Tribolium castaneum: one gene and its partner. The protein of the gene in region 2 interacts with the protein of the main gene of each other region in a biochemical or structural test. Links are inferred from orthologs where the notes say so. Each region holds a gene or a part of one and is shown on either strand. Other genes may lie near its edges.

The links.
Region 1: the proteins of Pex5 (region 2) and Pex12 form a complex in vitro, tested with the Homo sapiens proteins (2 studies listed by BioGRID). The link is inferred for Tribolium castaneum from reciprocal best matches to the Homo sapiens genes PEX5 and PEX12.

Annotation. Positions count from the first base shown.
Region 1 is NC_087401.1:8,582,703-8,585,932, reverse strand, and holds Pex12 (peroxisome assembly protein 12), read right to left. Parts: upstream 1,751-3,230; 5' UTR 1,736-1,750; coding exon 1,616-1,735; intron 1,576-1,615; coding exon 1,467-1,575; intron 1,425-1,466; coding exon 1,243-1,424; intron 1,203-1,242; coding exon 843-1,202; intron 796-842; coding exon 595-795; 3' UTR 534-594; downstream 1-533. Other genes in the region: prostatic acid phosphatase, read left to right, coding at 2,005-2,076, 2,116-2,214, 2,256-3,230. UniProt on the Homo sapiens protein: Component of a retrotranslocation channel required for peroxisome organization by mediating export of the PEX5 receptor from peroxisomes to the cytosol, thereby promoting PEX5 recycling.
Region 2 is NC_087395.1:23,162,907-23,167,246, forward strand, and holds the start of Pex5 (peroxisomal targeting signal 1 receptor), read right to left. Parts: upstream 3,072-4,340; 5' UTR 2,970-3,071; coding exon 2,780-2,969; intron 2,727-2,779; coding exon 2,593-2,726; intron 2,546-2,592; coding exon 2,354-2,545; intron 2,303-2,353; coding exon 2,146-2,302; intron 614-2,145; coding exon 85-613; intron 1-84. Other genes in the region: ubiquitin-protein ligase E3B, read right to left, coding at 3,493-3,665, 3,718-3,829, 3,879-4,043, 4,090-4,219.

The DNA of each region.
Region 1 (3,230 bases), on a different chromosome or scaffold from region 2:
ATGCAAGAGGAGTGGATGAATGTTGTTAGGAGGGAGTCTCAAAGATCGTGGAGGAGGATATTTAAACTTTTAACACACTAAGCATTGCATTTTTCGGAGTGTTGAGAGGACACCACACAATTAAATGGCTCGGTAAATAAGTTATTCAATTTTTCTAACAATGAAACACAATCATTTCAAAAAATTAACTGACACGTTTCTCATTGAAAAAACAGTGTTTAAACGAGATGTTTTGCAATGCGATAGGTCTCACAAACACGGGATTTTGATCTCCACTTCACCGGAAGGAAAGGACAAACTCCTAGGATTAGGATTTTTTAAATAAATTGTAGTAATTTTCGGGGGATTTTAATACTTTTCCTAGGATTTTGGCGATGAAGTGGATTTAAAACTGTTTGAGGATTAGGATAGGATTACTAGGATTAGGATGAGTGTACCGGAAGGACCTCGTGGATTTGTTCCCAGGTATTTGAGACTTCTTTTTCGTTTTTTATTAATATTTTTTTATCATTTTGCTTGACAAAAAGTGTGGCTTTTTGTTGTTTTCACAATTGCATGTTTATTTCAATAAAAAATTCTCAACTACAACGTCTTTTATTCATTATCATATATCCTAACGATATCCAGCGGTTTGGCGGGAAGATTCGTAACCGGACACTTCTGGTTGTCCCTCAAATACCGCAAAATGCAAGGAAAGCAAAACACGTATCCGGAAACAGGAAGAACAGTCGGTATTTTCCAAAATTGTAAACAAATCGGACATTTATTGTGATAATTTCGGGCTTTCCCATCGAGCTAAACAATCAAATTAGCACTACTACCAACACTATCACTAGACTCACCATTGGTGGTTTAACAGTTGGCAGCGCCGTCACACTATAATTCTGGTGAGCGCTCCAGGCTTGCAAAAACTGCAAGAAAAACGCCCCAAACTCGAAGGTACTTGTAACCGCGTTTTTCAAAATATTCAATTGCCACAAATCCGCCAAATGCCCTTTGAATAAAAGCGACCAGAAACTTGGCTCAGGTGGAAGTGGCTCCGAATACGCCAACTTGACATCAATCAATTGAAGAATCGGCAATTGAGCTTCGGTTTGTTGCGACATGTATTTAATATAATTGTAAACTGTGAGCAGCCCCCATGTTATCTCAAACGTGGAGTGGGACAAAATTAACAGTTTTTTGAACCGGCCCTCGAAATTCTAGGGATTTTTAGTAGTCGGGTCAGTTACGTTGGCATACATTACGCAAACAACCGTCGGCGTTTTCCAAGCGATACAGAGCCACCTTTTCGTCCAATTTCCGTTTGAAATACGGCAAAAACACGCAAAATAACAAGGAAATGCGACGGTGGTGACTCGTCAATTGATTACCAGAGTCGAGGACACGCTTCAAGCCGTAGAAATTCTCCGAAAACGTGGCGTCTGAAATATACAATTATTACAGTTTTTGGGGGGTTTACTCACCGTAATTGCGCAGGTAGCCGTACTGGAGGCCACAATTCAATAAAAGAAAAACTTCGTCGTAGTATTTGCCCAACCAGTTGAATTTCTGGGGGCAATTAGTGGCCAAAAACTACGGATTGTTAGTTTACGCCTGAAAATTGTAGCCTTACCAGCGCGATTTTCTGCAGTGCCGGGTGGAGGGTGTCGTTGAGTGACTTTGACGCGATTATTTCGAAAATCGAGGGTTTGTTTTGCGAAGTGAGGGTGAAATTGGCTGCGTTTTCCGCCATTTTTTGAATTACGGTTGGCGGGCCTGGCGACAGGTTATGTCTCTGTGGGGCTGCTCACATTGTTGCTTTTATTCGTGGTTATTCGTTATGAACGCGACAATTGTGTTTTAATCAGTTTGTGTGTTTTTTTTTGTGTTAGGTGGGCCGGGAGTGTAAAATTGCACAAATCACGGGTGCGTTGAACGTGTGATGGCAGCACTTGTTGATTGTCAATTGTCAAAAATTTTGACCATATGTTGATAAACAAAATGCTGTGATTACAAAGTACAATGGTTAGACTAGTGTTAGTTTGTGTACTTATTAGTGTCTCGCTCTGTGATGATTTGATTTCGGTGGTTGTGGTGAGTTGGGGGGCTGCCGAGTCTTTAACCCCTTTGCAGATTTACAGGCATGGTGACCGCACCCCCATTCAGCCCTACCCGAGGGACCCCTACCGCAACGCGTCGTTCTGGCCAGTGGGCTTCGGTCAGCTGACGAACGTGAGTAGCCCCCTTTTGCGCAGTGTCACTCGTTTGATTAGTTGGGCAAACAGCAGCATTTCCGCTTGGGTCAGTGGCTGCGCCAGCGCTATGGGGGCTTCCTATCGCCGCACTATTCCGAGAAAGACTTCTCCATCCGTTCAACGGACGTCGATAGGACGCTCATGTCCGCCGAAGCCAACTTGGCCGGCTTGTACCCCCCCAAAGCCGACCAAGTGTGGGACCCCGCCCTCCCCTGGCAGCCCATCCCAATTCACACGACCCCCGAACTGGAGGACAACCTCCTCTCAATGAAAAAAAACTGCCCCAAATACAACTCGCTTCTAACCCAACTTTTCAAAACCGAGTTTTTCGCCAACATTAGTCGACAAAATCGGGACTTGTACGCGTATTTGAGCAAAAATTCAGGGGCCAATATAACGTCCCTCGAGACTCTCGAGTATCTATACAACACCTTGTACATCGAAAGTTTAAATAAGTTTGTTTTGCCCCAGTGGACCTCGGGGGTTTATCCCGAAAAAATGGCCCCGTGGGCCCACCTAAGCTTCGCCACCCAGTGTTATAACAGGGACTTGGCGAGGCTTAAAACGGGCCCCCTTTTTAACGAAATTATTGAACATTTTCGCAACGCTACCAAAAAAATTGAAAATTTCCGGAAATTTCTCGTTTTTTCGGCGCATGATGTCACGATAGCGAACGTACTTAACACAATGGGGGCCTTCGAGTACCATTGTCCCCCCTACGCTAGCACCATAATGTTCGAATTGAGGCGAAATTCAAGTTTTTATCTCAACGTTTTTTACAAAAATTCCAGTCAAGTGCAGAAAATTACGCCAAAAGGGTGTGATTTCAACTGTGATTTTGACGAGTTTATTGCGCTTTTAAAACCCATCGTTATTACACGAAAACAGTGGGATTTAGAATGTCAACTGTCTAATTTTGAGCGTTATAATCACATTTTTGTGTATTCAAGCATTGCGATTGGTTTTCTTGTTTTTACTCTAGTTTTGTGGGTC
Region 2 (4,340 bases):
TTTGAAGGCACAAAGGTTATTACAGAAGCTGAGCTTAGCACTAATATTTACAAAGAGTCACTCAAAGCCAGCCCCCTCACTTACGGCTGTAAAAAGCTTGTAACTTGCCCAGTTAGTTGAAAATCGGGTGGCACCAGATCGCTATATTTCGGGTTATTTGTGAGCCATTTGAGCAACATTTGTGCAGCCTGACTGTAGTAACTCTCGTTGGTGTAACAGACAGCCAAGGCCATGAGCGCCGTTAAATTATTGGGTTCCAGTTCTATACACTTTTTCAATGCCGGTATGGCATTACAGTCCTGTTCGTTTTCCGCTTGGGTTTTGCCTAATAGTAGCCAAGCTTCGCTGTTTTCAGGCTCTTGTTTTACGGCCGCTTCGAAACATAAAACAGCCGACGGCAGATCGCCGTCTTCGAGCAGTTTTTTGCCTCTTTGTAAAGGGTCAGGAATATCAAACATGGGATTTTCTTCGGTAAAGGTATAGTCGTTGTATGGGGCAGTATAGTAGGAGTCGAATTCGCTCGCCCAAGTGTTTTCGCTAGATTCGGCGCCTTCTAGAGTTTGTTTGAGCTCTTCCTGGAGGTTGTTCCAGTATTTGGAATTGAAATCGTCTTCTGAAATTAGGGCTCAAGGCTAGTTCTCGACCTAATCATTCATTTTGTATTAAAACAAATAAAATTTCTTGATATCACTCGTAAAAATCAAGACTTCTGTAACTTAATATTAAATATTTAACATTCATGTGGGATAAGAGCATTATTCACAAACTGAGCGAAAATTGCACAGTTGTGTAATCGGATAAGTTTGTTAACAATGCGTTATCACAACAAAAAATCCATATCTTAGAAACAGCTTTTTTATATCACTCGCCTGTATTTATTTATTTGGACTTTAAAATGTGATATTTTTCAAGAATTTTTTTTTGAAATTTCTTTTAGGTTTCGAGTTATTAAAAAATATTTTTTTAATGGCACACTTGTACGGCGATTTTTTTTTTTTTGGATGACGCTTGGTTCCAACGTAATTACAGCAAATAACGAATACAGCGGAAAGTTTTAATAAATTCAATGCTTACATTCGAGAGTAAAATTAAAAATTTCCTTTTTAATAATTAACTTTGCTCAACTGAGTTAGGTAAGTGATGTTGATAATAAACATAAAGGAATTTTTTCCTGTGTATTTTTTTATTTTCTTAAAGAATTCTTTCTTCTTGCCTTTGTTCCTGAGAGACTGGCAGTGATTTTTCTTTTTAGTTTTCAGTTCTTAAGTAATTTCCGATTTTTATTTTTATTCAAGTTCTATATTGTTTATTTTATTTTAATTTAATTTTTTTATATTTTCTGTTAATTTTTCTTTGAAGGTAAGTTGAATACCTTCAAGCTAGACTGCGCCTTCTCATCTGTTTATTATTGTTCAATTTTATTTAATAAAAAGCTTTGATTTATTATTATTATTATTTTTATAAATAAACTATCAAAAAGAAAGTAAACAAGTGTCAAGAACATAAAAATTAAAATAAAAACTAGATTTTAAAGATAAAAGCGCTATTAATAACTATTAATTAATTTAAAAAAATGTATTTTTCAATTAAATAAAAATTGAATCCAGATGAAATTTTCATAGGAAATTAAACTTTTTTGTATTTCATGTGAATAAAATGTGGAAAACAAATACACAAACAGAAAATAATACAAAAAAAAAGAAACTGGTTTAATTTAAATCCTTGATAATTATTTAATTTATGATCTCGAAATTTAATAAAATTCGCTTTTTGGTTTTTACTTACCTTGTACTATTTTTTTTTCTGGTAATAATATATTAAAAAAATCGATAATTTGTTCTGAAAGTATAAAGTGATAGGTAATCATGTTAACTACATTCAAAAACTTAGTTCAAAAATCTAACAATTGAACAGCTATATCTCGTAACAAAAGGCTTAAACAATTTTTTATCAAAACGATTTCTAACTCAGTTGGATGTCTTTTTTCATTACCTAAGATATATGATATTATTCTGTATAATCGATAATTTTTAATCGCCAATATTTGCAAAACCTCAAAACCCTAGCTCAAGCCTTTTGGTTTATTACTGATTTTAACATTTTTGTAAAAAATAAATAAAAACTTTTTAAGGAAAAGATGGTTACCGTAATCCTTTTCCCACTTTTTGGCGACTTTTTCAGCCTCCGCTTCGTTGTTATTTTGGAGGAACTCCTTGCTCCAGGACTGCGCCTCTTCCTCCGTCAGCCTCCCGTCCTCCAAATTAACATCACCATCGCCGACTTGTTTCATGAATCTCATAAACTGAAACCTATTCATTATTTACCGTCCCCAAACCCTGACGTAACGTCTGACCTTCGAATACACAAATTTGGGGTCATCAACAGCCTCAACAAACTCCCGAGCGCTCTGCTGCGAGGCATTTACCTTGCTGGGCCCTGGCAGTATCTCTGGGAAATTATCAGTGCCCCAGTCGTCCACCACAGCCGCATTGTTCTGCTCCTGCGAGAGGATCTCCGTCCAGATCGCCTCACTGTTCACATTGTCCTTGAACACAAATGACAGTGCAAAACTCACAACCAGCGCCTATTTACATTGAAGATTTTCCCGTCGTCGATGTACTGCTGCGCCCAGGCGTCGTCGTGGATCTGGTCCTTGATCGTGGAGGCGGGAATTGGCGGCAGCGCCGACCTTTGAGACTCAATTTCGTGCATTTCTCGCATCAAATCTGGAAGCGTCACAGGTGAATTACGGGGGTTTTAACGCACGGGGGGGCCCTACCGTCCATCCGGAAGCTCTGGGGCACCGACTTCGTCTCTTGCAGGAACTGCTCGACCAGTTGGTCCGAGCTGCTGGGGAAGGCATGCCCGTGGGCCTCCGCGAAGGCATGATCGTGGGTCAGGTGCGACGTCAGGCGGGCCAGGGGGTTCTTCTGGCCGCACTCGGCCTCGGTCAAGGGGTTAAATGCCATTTTTTCGGTTTTTAGCCCAGTTTACACAACCAAGTGCATTTTATCAAAACAAATTCCAGATTGACGTAAGTGACACTGACAAGGCCACTGGCACGGCTGCCAACCGGCACCAGTGGCAAGCCACAATCACCAAAAAACGTGATAACTGATAAATAAAACTTTTTTTCTAATATTTAGTTAATTAAACACAACATTTGGCTAAAATAACGTAAATCTGATCGAATGTTTGGCTTAAAAGACTTGACGCGGCGCCAACTTGGTGCGTATAGTGACATGTCATAGTCACCAAAAATTGAGGGAAGCCCCGGGAGTGAAACAACTCGTTAAAATATATTTTATTACATAAGTAAATACAACAAAGACATCACAACATGGAAGTGATTATAGTCAACAAATTGGGTTAAAATAAATTAATCTGATAAAATATTTGGCTTGGAGAAAAAAAACACGGATCATCGTAATATTAAAACACAAAAGGTTGATATGGGTGTCACATATGTCGAAATTCCATTTCCACTAACAATTACGACAACTCAAACCCAGTGTTGCAAGTGACAGCGTACCGCAGCTTCTCCCTCAAAGTGCTTTTCTTTTGGTAGTTGGGCAGCTTCAAAAGATTGAAACAAGTGGAAGACGTCGGTAAGCGATTCTGTGGGTCCTTTTTCCGTATCGTGAAAAACCCCCGAAAGACGCTTCCTGAAATCCCCTCCAGATTTTTCCAAAATCTAACAAATTGCAAAAAAAATACCGATCGTGTCTCCCGTGTCTTCATCATCGCCAACTTCGACACACCTAATCGAAAAGGGCGGCTCCAAATGAGCGAAGCCTAGAAGCGGCGGTTTGGAACAACTTGTCACAAACTGCAATTACCTAAGTTAGGAAAATTGGGCTTTAAATTACGGGGGGCACCTTTAGGAACATTCCTTTCTCCTCCTCGGTGAAATCCTTTTCTAAAATATCCCACAGCCAACCCACCACGCGGTGCGAGTCGTGAAAACCGCCGTAATACTGAGTGTGTTTGCGCAAATCTTTCATGTCTAAGGGGACATTATCACCCGAGATAAGGCGTTGCAACTGGAAATTTATTGTTAAAAGAGCGTTTTCAACGGTTTGAACCCACTTCAGGTGTTGAAAAGAGCGACAACCAGTCGGGGTTGATAATCGAGCGGAAGCCGCGAATGAAAGCGCTGGTTTGGTCCTTGATTTGCACGTGCATTCGGAAGTGGGCCATCAAGTGGATGTAATTGATCCTAAAAGCACAATTCATTGGAATTAAAACAAAAATATTCGTGGAAAAAAGGAGAAAAAATGGTAATTTCAACAGAAAAAACAAAAATTTGAAAAATGAAATATAAAGAAAGACAAGACTTT